Neurospora crassa OR74A: one gene and its partner. The protein of the gene in region 2 interacts with the protein of the main gene of each other region in a pairwise test. Links are inferred from orthologs where the notes say so. Each region holds a gene or a part of one and is shown on either strand. Other genes may lie near its edges. The genes, in order: NCU00133 and rpa-1.

Evidence for each region.
Region 1: the proteins of rpa-1 (region 2) and NCU00133 interact in binary tests that used the Saccharomyces cerevisiae proteins (3 or more experiments, as listed by UniProt). The link is inferred for Neurospora crassa OR74A from reciprocal best matches to the Saccharomyces cerevisiae genes RFA1 and POB3.

The regions. Positions count from the first base shown.
Region 1 is NC_026503.1:2,734,363-2,742,285, reverse strand, and holds NCU00133 (FACT complex subunit pob-3), read right to left. Parts: upstream 4,713-7,923; 5' UTR 4,466-4,712; coding exon 4,455-4,465; intron 4,299-4,454; coding exon 4,076-4,298; intron 4,020-4,075; coding exon 3,526-4,019; intron 3,468-3,525; coding exon 3,096-3,467; intron 3,039-3,095; coding exon 2,441-3,038; 3' UTR 2,177-2,440; downstream 1-2,176. Other genes in the region: NCU00134 (exportin-T), read right to left, coding at 1-1,049, 1,211-1,222; NCU00132 (hypothetical protein), read left to right, coding at 5,960-6,080, 6,180-6,760. UniProt on the Saccharomyces cerevisiae protein: Component of the FACT complex, a general chromatin factor that acts to reorganize nucleosomes. The FACT complex is involved in multiple processes that require DNA as a template such as mRNA elongation, DNA replication and DNA repair.
Region 2 is NC_026505.1:1,819,742-1,827,572, forward strand, and holds rpa-1 (replication factor-A protein 1), read left to right. Parts: upstream 1-3,787; 5' UTR 3,788-4,024; coding exon 4,025-4,056; intron 4,057-4,117; coding exon 4,118-4,378; intron 4,379-4,439; coding exon 4,440-5,879; intron 5,880-5,940; coding exon 5,941-6,040; 3' UTR 6,041-6,467; downstream 6,468-7,831. Other genes in the region: NCU03605 (amidohydrolase), read right to left, coding at 1,774-2,216, 2,279-3,197; NCU03607 (threonine dehydratase catabolic), read left to right, coding at 7,033-7,369, 7,642-7,831. UniProt on the Saccharomyces cerevisiae protein: As part of the replication protein A (RPA/RP-A), a single-stranded DNA-binding heterotrimeric complex, may play an essential role in DNA replication, recombination and repair.

The DNA of each region.
Region 1 (7,923 bases), on a different chromosome or scaffold from region 2:
AAATCCTGAAGGTGACGTTCGGCCTTTGCTCGGGTCTCAGCGTCGACTTTGTTGTCCTCCAGAACCCGTACTACGTCCGTCATGATGGTGTTGAGGAGCTTCGCAACGACTTCTGCGAGGTCATTGTCGTAACGAGAGGTGCCCTTGAACTCGTGCAGTCCTTGGCTTGCAAGCAGCTCTGTGATGATGCCACCGAGGTTAAGGAACGATATCAGCTCCATCTTGTGGCTCGGTCCCATCTTCTTGGCGACAATCTCCGTCAACGTATCGATGGCGGTGTCCCTCACGGTATCAATATTGTTGCTCGTGTTGTTAACTCTGCCAACCAAGGGCAAGATCAAGTTCTGCATGTCCTGACTGACGACAAGGGAGATATCGATCCAGCTGACCCATTTCCCAATCACCTTAAGCGTCAACTCTACCACGCCATCATGCTTATTTGTCCACTGAGCGAGGATATCCTGCCACGACATGGCAATCTTCTGCATATGCCGTTCTCGAATTAGATCTTTGAGATCGTTGTTCCTCTTCGACTCGTTTCCCTGGCGGCTGATCATGAGGTCGGCGATTTCGTCATGGACGGAGCTTAGTATGCGGAGGTACAGCATAACGCCGCTGAGGTTGTCTCTTGAAGCACCATTCTGGGAGCTGGTCAAGGCGAGGAAGTCGTCGAAAAAAGTTTCCCAGCCTTCGCCGTAAAGAGCGACAAAGAGATACGTGAGGGTTTGTGTGAGCTTGTTCTGAACGTTCGCAGGGTCGGCTTGGTCCTGAGCGTTAGGACCATATGTGCGTGTGATATAGTCGAGTAGAGAATTTTTCACAAAGGCGAGATCGGGGGCGTCCAGCCCTTGAGAGTGGACGGCGTTATTGACCATTTCAAGGGAGACATGGCGGACGATGTCGGATGCTCTGGGGCTTCGCGTGAAGAGCGCGGCGCAGATACGCCATGCTTGGACGTCGGTCCTGACTTGGTTGAGGAACTCGAGCGCCTGGGACTTCAGGGCATGACTGGAACGAGGATCAAAGGCGATCTCAATCGCCTTTTCAAACTGTAGCAGAAACGACCGTCAGCGCGAGAAGACAGAGAGAAATGACGTGTGCCGAAGAGGTACATTGTGATCCCTCCATTCAGACGGATATATGGCGGGGTCGGCGGGTGCGAGTTTGCGGGGATGATATTTTTTTCACGCTGGGGGAAAAGCAGCCTTACCTGGGCGTCCATGGTATGGCTGTTTGGAGGAAGAGTTCGAGGGGGAGAAAAACGGGTTGAAAGGATTCGTGGTATGTTTTGTACGTCGGCGGTGGTTGTGTCTGGCTGCTGTTTGCTGGTTTAGTTGTTGGTCAAAGTGCTGTAAAATAACCCGGGGCAGCAATGGTCAAGAAAGAGTCGGCATTCTCAAAGATAGCAGGCGGAGCGCCAAAAAGACATGGTTTCCAAAGGCGGGAACCTTTTAGTTGGCTTCCATTACTGTAAATCTCCTTTGCGGTGCTAATCGGGTACTTTTGTTTTTCCCTGCTCCGGGACGTGAAGATCGAAACAGGCAGATGCTTCCTTTGGGCGCGGTATCAGGTCTCAAAAAATACCAGGACGAGTGAGAATAAATTTATCACGGTGCAGGTGTGGCTGTCCGATACAGCACCAAGGAGAGGCCGTGAGCTGATGATTGGCACCAATCAATGGCTTCTGGACTGGTCGACAGAAAACAAAGGGAGGAGGAGGAACGCGGAAATGGGTCATACCCACCGCCTTGGTGGGGCTTAACTTTGGAGCCGAATTAAAGCCCGCCCAGCTGAATGGAAGTCTGCCGAAGCGCACTCAGCAGGGACCGCTCCGCATCAACCGAAGTGCCCACCGGGCCACGCAGGGCACCACTATGTACACTAGAAGGAATGTGCATCCTAGTGTAGTGTAGACAGAGCGGGAACGCATAGAGGTAGGTACCTACCTACCAGGTAGGTAGATTTTTGACCGCTAGAGCGATACCCACCTCAACCGCCTGCACGCCCTGCAGGCTGATACATTCCATGCCGTACTTTTGGAGTACGGCCTCTATCCATCCTGCGGCCCTGAAGAAGAAGCGAAGTCTCAAAGGATGTGCCGATGTCTTATGTTCGTTGTAGTCGAAGGGGAAAAAAAAGAACCATAACGGATCAACTAGGTAGCTGACCATCTGCCTGCCGCTCTTCAGTGTTCATTAGCTCCATTGCGCGCCCAAGTTGAGGGAACATCGAGATACTAGTTTGACACTGCCGTTGGGAATGTCGTCTTTGACGCCCCAAGTATCGTATCGATATATGGTAGAGAAAATACAGAATTAACACATATTCGTGTCACGAAAGTACCGGAACGCCCCAAATACCCAGCTGCCTGCCTGCCTTCCAGCCTGTGATCTGCCTTTTTAATCAAACAAGTAACGACGCGCCAACATGAAAAATAAACCTAAGCCGTCTTCTTCTTCTTCTTGGGGCGCTTCTCTCCCTCGTCATCATCCATATCCTCATCCTCATCATCGACCCGATTGTCGACGTCGCTCTCCTCGCTGCCCGACCCATCACTCTCATGGTTGCTGTCGTATTCCTCCGCCACGTCGCTTTCGGACTCAGCCTGGAAGTCCTCATCCACGCTCTCCTCATCCTCGTCAGCGGAGCCACGATCAGCCTTGGGGCCGACGGCCTCTTCGTCCGAGCTAGCCATGTCGTCATCGCCCAAGGCGGCGGCAATAAGGTTGGTGTCATCATCAATTTCGTTCTTGACACGCAGTCCTTTGAGCTTGAAAAATTCCTCGAGAGCCTTCAAGTCTTCACGGTTAATGTTGCTGAATTGGGATGAGCCCGCGCCGTTTTTCATGTGGACTGTAATGTCGAACGTCGACAATGCCGAGACCGCACCGCCCACGCGTGAAAACGTGATGGACTGTGTCTGTTCGTATGAGATGTACGTGGCCGGCTTGGGGACAAACATAAACGCCTTCTCCAAGCAGTAGAGGAATCCTTCACTGGCTTTGATAGAGCACTTGATGCCGTACTGCTGACGGTGCCTGCGGGTTCCTAGGTCAGTACCGTTGCTGGCTATGAAATGAACAGATATAACTCACGTTGTAAAGTCCTTGGCTGGTGTAGTGACTTTCTTGTTCGCAAGTCCCTTGAAAATGTACGCCACAACCTGATGAAGTGGTTGCTCGTAGTGGCTCTGAAGCTTGTCCTTGTATTTTCCGTTGAGTTCCTCCTCGGTGATGTTCAGGTCAAGAGTCACCTCTTCGTCCGCCTTGAACTGCATCACCACAAATGGATAACGTGTTTGACCTTGACGAAGGGGCGGGTCGAGACCAATGCAAAGCAAGAAATGGAGATCGTCCGGCTTGGGAAGCACCATAAATTTCTTGATAGCATCGTATTGGATCTTGTAGTCGTATGTTTTGCCACGGAGACGGAAGGAGGCATCGTACATGTCGATGTCGAAACGTCCTCTATCGGGAGAGTTAGCACCGGAAAAGGATCAACAACCAGCGTGCAGTTTCCACGTACCTGGGCGTGAGATGTAGCACATCGAGGAATGTAGCGATAGTATCACCCGCCGTCTCACCAATCTCGGCCTTCTCAATAAGGGTGTCGTAGAACAGAGTCACGGCGTTCTTCTCTTCTTCATCGGCGTCGCTACCAGCCTCACCACCCTCGGCCTCCTTTCGTGTTGTCGTTCCAGGGATGTAGAAGCGCACCTCGACCAGCTGATCCTTGCCGGCCGACGCCTTCTTGCCCTTTCCGCCTGTTCCGCTGTGACCGTTCGACTTGCCGCCATCGTTGCCGGCGAACTCGACTGCGATTTCGTTCCTTCCGGCAAGATTTGTATTGGAAATCTCGGAGTAAGGAATCTCAAAGGCCGGTCGGTTTTGGACGTTGAAAGTGAGCTCGGCTTTGCTAAACTCAGCCTTGCCCCAGTTCCATCCTCTCAGAGAGTGTTCCTTGTTCTCGAGGTTCACGCTGTACCAGTTCTTGAAGATCTTGCTAAGGCGCTCGTAATCCTGTGGCAACACGTCAGCGTTCCTTCGCTTCGATGGCGCGTGGATAGGTTTCGTACTTCTTGGTGGAAACCATCGAGCTGAACTACGCCAGAGCTTCGCAATAGGATTTTAACCTCATAGCCCCTCGCCGCCCTGCTCCATTGAGCACCGCCGATGTTGCTCGAGTCGAGAGTGAACGCTTCGCCGCCACCCGCAGGTTTCCATCCCAAGCCATTTTCCGCGAATCTCGACTTTCCGCTCTCCTTGGACAGATCCAAGTAGATATTGTCAAAACTCTCGCTGTAAATGAAGGTATTAGAAATGGCACTGAGCTGTGATCTCCGCCGGTGAAAGCCGTGCCCTACGGCGTAGATGGAGCGGGGCACATCCGTCGTCGCAGGGTTAGACGAGCAAGAGCGCGCGAAAGCATGAAATCCAGAAAGGTATGCGACTTACATGGCAGCCATATTGCCCCTCTATCCAACTGGTTTAATGGTGAGTTGGGGTTGATGGACAAGTTGGAAATGGCGTCTGATGTTGTGGCAGTGATTGCAAAGTGTTGCAAGCAAATACTGATGAACAATCCAACTGAAGGTTCGCGTGCCTCGGAGAAAGTTGACCGTGTCGCGACTAGGCCAGTTCGTTAATTGAAGGTTAATTCGGCTGGCAGGTGGCATTCCGCTGGGCTAGGCGACGACCCATGCTGGTGGCAGGTGGCAAGTCGCAGTACTACTGTACGTGTAGGGTCTACGCAGTGGGCAACAGCTTGGTTGTAGCGCGTGGCAACTGTGAGCTTCTGATTTCTCTCCCAAGCCTGCAAGAACACCACCACTTTATTCAGTTGTCACCTTCCAAGGAAGCTTTGCCAACGACACACAGGCCTTCTTGTCGCTCTGAGAGTCATTCACTGTTTGTATCATCTTGAATGTCTAAAAGAAACTGCGTCCTCTTGTCCTCCAATCTGTCGCGATCTACAGTAACACAACACCTTCCATTCTCTTGTAGTTACGGATCAACAATTATGTTGGGTGGTTTTTTCACATTTGAATTCTTTGTATCTCGCTCCTTCTTGCTTGTATTCGTTCCGCTAGTGCTCGGCCCGTTGAACACGGGAGGGAAAGAGGACGTTCCAAGCGAGTCGCTTCGTTACGTGGGAAAAGTGTCCCCTCGCGACAAGCGTTCCTTGTTTGGTCAGAGCATTTTGAAGCTTTCAACTGGTTCCAAATATGCCACTTGGGTTGCCACTCTCAATCTACTAAACAAACTCAACATAGCTTCGGTTCATGGACATGGGCGCGATTCCCAATATCGTCAACCCCCCAAAAAGCATGTGGGGCTAGCGCGTGGAGCTTTAAGTGGTTGCATATGATATCTTCCGCGCCTGTTTCATGACATGGGATTGTATTAGAGGTACTTAGTCACCTTAAGTGGTAATGTTCTCTGCCTTGTACCACTTCTTGATCTCTTTCTTTTTCTTCCCTTGAACACAAACATAACTCTCAAGTTAGTTCGTTCTTGTTGTGCCCATTGGCTGTTTCACAAGGGCGGAAGACTCGCTCACCGAAGGTGACAATTCCCGTCGTAGACGTTCCTGCCTGCGGCCTTGACCTGGAGACCACGAGGGGCACTTATACGCCACCCCACGATTGACGTATTACATGCTTGAACTGGTGGCATCCCGCACACCCGCTCAAGCTGCCCCGCCTCGACTTCCTTCCGTCACTCGTCTGCCCTGATCGTCATATTTCGCTCGGTTTCTTTATTCAAACAGAACGAAGCTCTCCTTTGTTGCCTGGGCCGTTTGTTTGCCTGCTTCAATTGAACCTTAGCTGGAGCTATTAGTATACCGAACTTCCGACTTGCACACTTACTTGGCCCCCCAAGGATCCCAACGAAGCTTGAATCAATCTTTCCACCATCAATCACTCTTGTTGCCTTGTTGTTTCTACACCTTTTCAAAGATGAGCTTCGAGCGTCCCCTCCGTGGTGGCTGCCAATGCGGCCGCAATCGTTACATCATCCAGTTTCCGCAAACCACTACACAGGCGGCGCAAGTCATCTTCAACCCACCGCCTTCTCAATGTAGGAACCTGTCCAGCGATACTGACTCTCAGGAAATTCCGATCACTATCTCCATTTTGCTAGGAGTATAGATCATCTGACCAAATGTTGCCAATGCAGATATCTCCCATGCCTCACCATTGGCTGCTTTCCTGCGGGTACCTTTGCCATGGTACCATAGCTCGACGCTCTCGTTTTCTCCCGACGAAAGGACGTCGATGATCCATCGCGCCTACACTTCGCCCTTTGAACAGCATTCTATGCGCCACTTTTGCGGTTATTGCGGCACCCCCTTGTCTTACTGGTCCGAGGAACCTCGTAGCGAAGCTGATTTTATCCAGCTATCGTTGGGCAGCCTGCATCCAGAAGATCTAGCGGACCTGGAAGACTTGGGTATGTTGCCGGATTCCGAAAGCGAGAATGAACCTGAAACGAAGAAGCAAGAAGGAAAGGGAGAAGTAACGTATATCGGCCGACAGACTGTGGGAGGCCTACCCTGGCTGGACAGCTTGCTTGAGGGCAGCCGACTCGGTACTCTTCGCGCGGCCAAAGGTCGCAGCCAGAATACGAGTGGTACAGTTCAAGTCGAATGGGAAGTTATGGAATGGACCGAGGGTGAAAGCGGCTCCCCGAGCGGCTCCCCGAGAAACAGCAAGCGGAAGCTTGGTGACCGAGACGACGTAGCCCGGGCGTTACCATGAAGGACATTAGGCAATGAGCCTGCAGTGGGATTCCGTTTCCTGCCATGGTTCATCTAGACGCCCAAGCGCCTCCTCGGACTGTAGAAGGGCATTAGAACGCTTGGGTTGGCGGCAATTCTTTTCGGCGTTTCAGAATCATAAGAGGGTCGTTGAGGGACAGGCATCGTGAAGGCGTTTGGCAGGATTGGAAAGATTGGCAACAGTGGCTTGGATTCGTGTTGTTGGGTCGCATGTTTCCTACTCGGCGATGCACCAAACCCTTGGACCTCCGACATACTTCTAACATTCAGCATCTATACAATGACCAAGTGTAGCAGTACGATAGTTCAACCCTAGAGGATAGCTTATCGCAATCGTTTTCGAATGATTCCGGGACGTGTCTACACCTAGCAACGAAGTCTTAAGGTCGTGAAATACCCAAACCCGACGGAACACACGACGAATGTACTCGCAATAAAATCGTGAAAATGCGCTGCTGGGGCAAAGCGAGACGTGCGATTGGAATCCTAAGGGGCAGCCAAGAGATGGAAACCAACAAAGACAAAACGTGAAGCTTTGGAGTGAAAGTAGTACATTTGGAAGAGGGTTTCCTTACATACTAGTCGAAGCGAGAAGTACGCAAGCGGCTCAGGTGGACATCGACCGGATGTCTCGCCTAGCTTCATCAACAACGGCGGCAAGCAGCAGAACATGCACATCCACATATCTGAGTTGAGCGAATTGTCGTGAACTCGTGAGCAAGCAAAGGGGGGCAGCGCAATGGAAAGGCGGGCCTTAAGTCTACCAGCCGAGCCCAGTTTACCAGGCCCCGCGCGGCGATGTTGTGTTTTCAGTCGCTGGCGAGGCCGAGAATTACCCGACTCGGTTCTATGATCCGTAATATCATCCGAGTGGCTTGGCCAACCTAGAAACTATTGTGCCAAAGCTGAGGATGCATCTAAGGCCCCCAGAAAGTGCTCGGGCTGCTTTGGACTGGCAAATTGACCGTCGCTACATGGCTATCCCAATGTTGGAAGTGCTGATGCAACTAGCATCACGAATAAATAAAACATAAAGTCGAAGTTGAAACTTGACTGTCGAAGCAACTGAAGCGGCTCTGTTCTACCCTGCCATGCCCTGCCTTGTCTTGTCCTTGCCTTGCCTTGCGCCGTTTGCCCGCCCTG
Region 2 (7,831 bases):
TTCGACTTTATCCGAAATAACTCTGGATCGTAGTCATACGAAACAAGACATCCAAACACGATACCCTCGAATCACCTACATCCCGTGCAACCCAAAAAAAGACACATTAACATCCAGGAAATTTCCAGAAGCCTGCCACCTCACTTCTACGTACACCCACAAGAAGATAGTTAGTCGTCATGCAACTCTATCTCAGTTGGTATCAATAACAGCAAGCCATTCAGTCCTCCCCGCCCTCCAGTTCTCCAGTTAGTACTACAATCTTATGCCAACAATTACATGAACGCAGATAGTATAAACTTGTGGATCTTTTTACCAAACGGCATACGTGACATGACATGTCGTGTAACTCCCCCAACTCTACCTCTACCTACCACCCCAAGGTATCACGAACCCAGGCACCAGCCAGCCAGCGTATGTCCCAGTGTGTCCCGACGTGTGTGTGTGTGTGTGTCCTTACCTTGAAACACACTTCATCACCGACGCCACCATACGGCCATCAGCTAGCTGGTTCCACACACGTTTAACACGAGAAACAAAGTAATTCCACTGATTCACTGGCTGTGACATGGCCGAAGCGTGTGTGCTCCGCGAGTGTACGACATCAGATTCAAGTTGAGTATGTGTGTAAGGTACGGGAAGATCCAAGATATATATCATCTTCTCGCTCGCAAGACGGAGAGAGGAAAAGATGTCTTCCCCCTGGCGATGAATGAATAAGAAGGTGAAACCCGGTACCTCTAGATGAGTTACTGGTTATAAAGTCCTACTCGACTAGCGGAAGTGACTGTTTTGTACTTGGAGACTTGAGAAACTGGTGTTACACGGCGACATTGGGAGGAAGATGGAAGCATTTGAGAAGGGTTATGGAAGCATACCTGGAAAATAGGTGGGTGGGAGCACGGAGGATATTTTGGACACTCCTACTCCTTTTGGGATCACTGGGTTCTAGAAAGTATATCTCCCGGTACCTTCGTTGACAACTCGTGAGACACATGCAGAGTTAGAATGTCAACATTATTCAACCTGTAGGATTCAGCCATTCGTCAAAAAAGCAGAAAAAAAAGACAAAAGAAAAAAGGTGTAGGCTTGCGCCTGAGAGTCTAGCCTGTTGAACGCTTCATTGGACCACTTGACAACACGCCCCATTTCGAGGTGCTGAGAGATGGGGTGAAAGAGGTAGATGATCAACCCATGCCTGATGTTTGGAGGTAGTCTGCTTGGTTACCGAGCAACAGTCAGACGTTAAAGGGAAGGAGACATGAAGGTTAGCAATTGGCTTGGAGTCTCACGTCTCAAGCTGTAAGACACTCGACGTTAATCGCCGTGAATCTGTCCACGTTGGGCAGATCATCTTTCTGCTATATCAATTCGGTTGCATGAAATCAGCTGTCGTAATTTGAAGACACGCTCAGCTTTCCGACTTTCCTGCTGTATAGGGGAGCTTGGTATTCCCACATATGTATCTATGTAGAATGGCTCCCAATTCTGGGTCGTCAGAAGCGCTGAATTATGTTTAAGTTCGTCGTGATGCCAAAAGGTTGATCAAGCGCAAGAAGATTTGCGTCCGAACATGAATATATGTACAACATGTCCAAATCTCCAGAATAACCCTTTGTCCTGAGTTCTAAGCACCGCTTCTCTGAGAGGATAACGTTCCCCACATGCAAGTCATGAATTCGACATTGCCTTTCAAGCGTTGGGGTTTGACTAAGGAAGAAGCCAGCCTTCCTGTTTGTGGTGGTACTAATCTTAATATTCAGTGGTCCGCCGCTATTCGTCGCTTCTCGTCAAGTCTACGACTTTGTAGACCGGACGACTATCAAGTTTGTACGCTTCCCTCGCTGTTTCCGCCCAGAGCCTTGTCTGAGCCTCGGGTCCCAAGCCGGCCATATGGCACGTCATCTCCACCACTCTGCGCCACTTCTTCCAGGCTTCATCACCAAGGCCTAGAGTGCACACCGGCCAGTCGCTGCCAAACATGATGCGTTCGGGCCCAAAGGCGGCTATCACCACAGCAAGCCAGGGTAGGATAGCAGAGAGAATTTCCTCGGCCGGGCGAGCCCTCAAAAACTCGGGCATCTCGCTGAAGCAGCCGCTCAGTTTCATGTAGGTACGGTCGCACTTGCTGAGAGTAAACATGGCGGTGCGCCAGGCGATGTATGAGGGATCCGTTTGTACATTGACGATGGTTAGATCTGGCTTGCAAAGGTGGTCTGAGATGAGAACCATCAGTTAGCAAGCAAATCATGCAGAATGTGTCAAGGTAAAAACTTACTCAGGATAAATACCACTTTGTCCTCCTCGTCCACACCTTCGTGTGCACGGTCGATCATTTCTACCGCCTCCTCCAGTTGGATTCTCCCTCTTTTGTGCTGGTCAACACCCAGGTCAAAGACGAACTTCTTTCTGCCAAGCAGCTTCAGGCCCTCGATAAAATCGTCACTTAGGGCTGTTCCGTTGGGCTTATCTTGCAGCAAGTAGCGGAAACCCTTCACCTTGGCCCATGTTTCAGGCCCGGCTTCCTTTTCCGCAGCTGCGAGATACTTTTCCAACTCGGCAGAGCCCAATACAACCGGCGCCCACGGCACAATTCCGAGACAATCACGGCCATCGTCAGCCGTGTGGCCCTCGCCAGGCTTCGGTTGGCCGGTTACGATGCGGCGAAGCCATGCGATCTCTTGTAGGGGGTAAGTCCAATCCTTAGCATTGTCGTTCTTGCGGTCGACCTCAATTGCGACGTAGCCCTGAAGATTGCCAGGCGCACCGGTGGCGGTCTGGTATTCCTGGATGGAGTGCTGCTTGGCGAGAGGATTGTCTTCAGCGTACCACTGGTGGGATTCTACCTCGGACTGGGGATAGAGGTGCACATGGGTGTCGATGATGGGAACGGAAACGGCGGGAGATGATGCCATTTTGATCAGGCCGTTATCGAGCTCGAGTTTGGTAAAGCGACGGATATGTTTGGCAAGAAAGTAAGGTATCCAGTGATAGAGAAAGAGAAGGAGACAAGCGAAGCAAGCAAAGTCAGAGATGACAGGAAGTAGGAAGGTCAGGACGTCGAAGCGGTGTACCGTCCTGCAGGCAGACCAACGCTGAACACACAAAAGTAGAGGTATGGATGGGATGTAACTGAGGCAACGGGGGAACTTCCAATCGAGCCTTCTCCTTCTTATATTTTGTATTCGTTTTAGCATAGGCAGGCACGCGCTACAGTACGAGGAGAGTACCTCGATGGTCAGGAGGGGGTGGGAGATGGGATCGACACAGACAGCCAGGAACCACGACGAGGTGGGGTACGTTCGGCATGCAAAGGGCAGGCCCAAGACGGGACAATTCACACCGAAAGATTCAAAGATAGGGTTCCTGATCAAGAATGGTTACCTCCCGTCTTCGGTTTCCATTTCCTTGAGGAACCCAAGGTCCTTTTCCCTTTCGTCTTCCTACAGCACCGGAAGAAAGATACCCTTGTTATGTACAGTCATCACATGATTGTGCGAATATATTAGCAAAAAGGGTTCTATCTGCAAGACCTGACAGAGAAATCATGACATGTTCCAAAAGCTTAAGAAGTGAACGAGGCCAAGAGGGAAGTTGAGCCCCTGGAACTTGCTGAAGTTGAGCTCTCGGGTGGGGTTTGATGTGGAGATATGGGGTTGGCGGGCAACTGCCATGCTTGTCAGAAGCGCTTGGCAGCAACACTCCCCGGCAAACGCAAACTACACGCGCTATACAAACTGGGGCCCTCCGCACGGACCGTGGATGCCTAGCAATTAAACTCTTGCCCCTCCTCGACGCGCTGCCAAACGCGTCGCTGCTGCAGTCCATTGTTTGTGTGAAATTTCCCCTCCAGACCACCATCATCATCAGTCCAACACACTCGATCCATCCGTATCTTGTCGGATCTTTCTTGACTTCTGCGCCCCAATCCTTGCATCTTCGAACACGACTCACGCATAAATCAACCTCAAAAACAACATCGAGAACGTCTCCACGGGCTTGACGCCAACACTACCCAACCAACATGGCGGGTCAAATCACACAGGGCGCTCTGGAGTAGGTTTCTTCACGTGTGCTTCCATCCAGTAGTATGACAGACTCTGACTTCTTGCTATAGCGCCATGTTCAATGATCCCGATCGCGCACAACAACAGTTCCCTGTCCCCATCCTTCAATGTCTCCAGATCAAGACCCTCGACTCCAAGAATGGGGGCGCGGGCGCCACGGAGAGGTTCCGCATTGTGCTGAGCGACCTCAAGAACTATGTCCAATGTATGATGGCCACGCAAACAAACCATCTTGTTCACGATGGCCTCCTGCAACGCGGCTGCATCGTGCGCTTGAAGCAGTATCAAGCTCAATGTCTCAAGGGCAAAAAGTACGCCTATCTACCCCTCCGCCAATTCGGGAAATCCATAACACTGACTGTTTAAATCCAGCATCTTGATTGTCCTCGATCTCGAAGTTATCCAGTCCCTTGGCTGTCCCGAAAAGATGGGCGATCCACAGCCTCTTGGCCCCCGCAGTGCAGAACCACAGCAGAACCCCAATCTCGGCAGCACCGGCTTCTATGGCGTCAAGAGCGAACCTACCCAAGACACGAAACCACAGTTTCCACGCCAGATGCCCTCGCGTAATGCCAGCGGGGGTCAGGGATCAAGCACGATATATCCTATTGAAGGTCTCTCGCCCTTCTCGCACAAATGGACCATCAAGGCCAGAGTCACCTCCAAGTCCGATATCAAGACCTGGCACAAGGCTAGCGGCGAGGGCAAGCTCTTCAGCGTCAACTTTCTTGACGAGAGTGGCGAAATTAGAGCAACAGGATTCAACGACCAAGTCGACCAGTTCTATGATTTGCTACAGGAGGGTCAGGTTTACTACATTTCTACACCTTGCAGGGTACAGCTTGCCAAGAAGCAATGGTCGAATCTCCCCAATGACTACGAGCTCACCTTTGAGCGGGATACCGTGATCGAAAAGGCCGAAGACCAGACATCTGTACCACAGGTACGCTTCAACTTTGTCAACATCCAGGAGCTTCAGGATGTTGAGAGGGATGCGACTGTCGATATTATTGGTGTCCTCAAGGAGGTCCAAGAGGTGACCCAGATTGTATCCAAGACCACACAGAAGCCGTACGACAAGCGCGAGCTGACCCTTGTTGACAACACTGGGTACTCGGTACGTTGTACCATCTGGGGTAAGACGGCCACGAACTTTGATGCTCAGCCTGAATCCATTGTGGCCTTCAAGGGCACAAAGGTCAGCGATTTCGGTGGACGCAGCTTGTCCCTGCTTTCGTCTGGCACCATGGCCATCGATCCGGATATTCCAGAGGCCCATCATCTCAAGGGCTGGTATGATAGCAGCGGCAGGAACAACACCTTCGCCACCCACAACAACATGCAGACCTTGGGTGGTGCGACCGGTCGCAAGGACGACGCCAAGACCATCTCACAAGTAAAGGAAGAGAACCTTGGCACAAACGAGGCGCCGGATTACTTCGCTCTCAAGGCAACGGTTGTATTCATCAAGCAGGATAACTTTGCCTACCCTGGGTGCCGAAGCGAAGGCTGTAACAGGAAGGTCACAGATATGGGTGATGGTACCTGGCGCTGCGAGAAGTGCCAGATCAACCACGATAGACCTCAGTACCGTTACATTATGAGCGTCAACGTCAACGACCACACAGGTCAACTTTGGCTTAGCTGCTTCGACGATACGGCGCGGGTCATCATGGGCAAGTCGGCCGATGAACTTATGGAGATTCGAGAGACCGACGAGACGCGGTTGCCCGCCGAGTTTGAGCAGGCCAACTGCCGCAAGCTGAACTTTAGGTGCAGGGCGAAGATGGACACATTTGGTGAACAGCAGAGGTACGTATCGGGGGTTATTCTCACGATTAGATGGACGTTGCTGACACATTGCTTGTTGCAGGATTCGATACCAGGTCATGAGCGTGGCGCCCCTTGACTACAAGATGGAAGGAAACAAGCTTAACGAGCTCATCAATTCTTACAACCAAATGAGCATGTAAAGGGGAGGGTGGGGTTTGTTCACTTATGCGAGGAACTAGATGATGTATATGGTTAATGAACACGTGTTTGTATTTTCGGGCATGTGGTCTCAAGGATGAACGATATGGGCATCACTGGCCTATCGACTGAAAGATGATTTGCAGTTTCATGATGGACTGGGATGGTTAAGAGCTGTGATGGGCCGAACCCTAACAGAACTTTGTTGGCGTGGCAGCAAATTTCGGCATGATTGCAGACTTGAATAGGTCTCTCAAGCGTTATCTTGGAGTTGAGACACTAGGAGACCTTCCTGTTCGAGTTATCTTCGATAACATGCCGAGGTAAGTACACACGCTTCGTTGACTAGAAGAAAGCTCCAGAGCTGGTCAAGGTCGGATCAGGGCGGTCCTTGCAATGTAATACGCACCTTTCGGGCTCAATATCCACATGGCAATCCGATCATCTCATCCGTTATCGGCCTTCTTCACCCTCTCGTATTCTCAAACTCTTCTATGCTTCAGCTTTTTCACGCAAAGAACCCGTGGCACAGCCTTTCCTGGTCATCTTTCTTCACTTTCCAACTTCCGTTATGTGAATAGGCACCCCGGCTCCGGTCTCTATGCGGACTGTTTAGCTGCTCGATACCGTATCGGCACTTATCGATTACGCAGATGGATGACAGGAACCTAAACGCCGTATCTTCCTTATCGGCCGTCGTCGGGATCCCCTGCCGTGACTCCACATATCCGCCGTCCAGACCCGCCCCCGCTCCGTTCCCTCGGGCCCCCCACTTTCGATGTAGCGGGAAGCTGACACCGAGTTCTAGAACAAAAGACTATTGAAATCACGTTTGAACCGTATTCGTGTCAGCACTAAGACCAAGTTAAACCTTTATCTTTGCTCATACTTCTCTATCCCATTCAGTGTCTTCTTGTTGTCTACTTACACTCATCACCTTCCACCAACATCAACAACAAAGTGACAAGCTTCAACCTCTCAAACCTCCAACGAAATGGCCGACCCCAGCACCACCCCTCCCCTTACCCGTGCCTCCGTCCTCGCCGCTCACTCCCTCATAAAGCCCTACATTCACGAGACGCCCGTGCTTACGAATACCACTTTCGACCAACTCGCTTCCACCCCTCGTACTCCCGAAGAGCTGCAAGGAACGGAATGGGAGGCTACCGAAAGACCGGCGAACCCAAAGATTCGGTTCTGGTTCAAGTGCGAGAATTTCCAGCGGATTGGCGCGTTCAAGGCTAGAGGAGCGTTTCATGCTGTGGAGAGGTTGAAGCAAACTGAGGGGTTAGAGGGGTTGAAGAAGGGCGGAGTAGTGACGCATAGTTCTGGTTTGTGAATTTCCGCTTTTTTTTTTTTTTTTTTTTTTTTTTTTTTTTTTTTTTTTTTTTTTTTTTTTTTTTTTTTTTTCTTTTAATCTGGATATGATGAGGTGATATCAGTATTGAGAGAAATGAGATTGTGAAGATGTGAAGTTTTTTTGAAGGCTTTGAAATAGGTTGAGTTGTCTGAATTGTCTTCTGAGATGTGATGAGAGTTGTCGATGTGTTCAAGACGTAGTAGCTACGTGAAGACCCAAACTGACGTGACAACGAACTAAAAGGTAACCACGCCCAAGCCCTTTCCCTCGCTGCCCGCGAGAACGGCATCCCGGCGCACATCGTTATGCCTACCATCTCGCCTCCGCCCAAGATCGCTGCCACCAAGGGTTACGGCGCCAACATAACCTTTAGCGGAAGCACGAGTACCGAGCGTGAAGCAGTTACAAGGGAGGTGATTGAGAAGACGGGTGC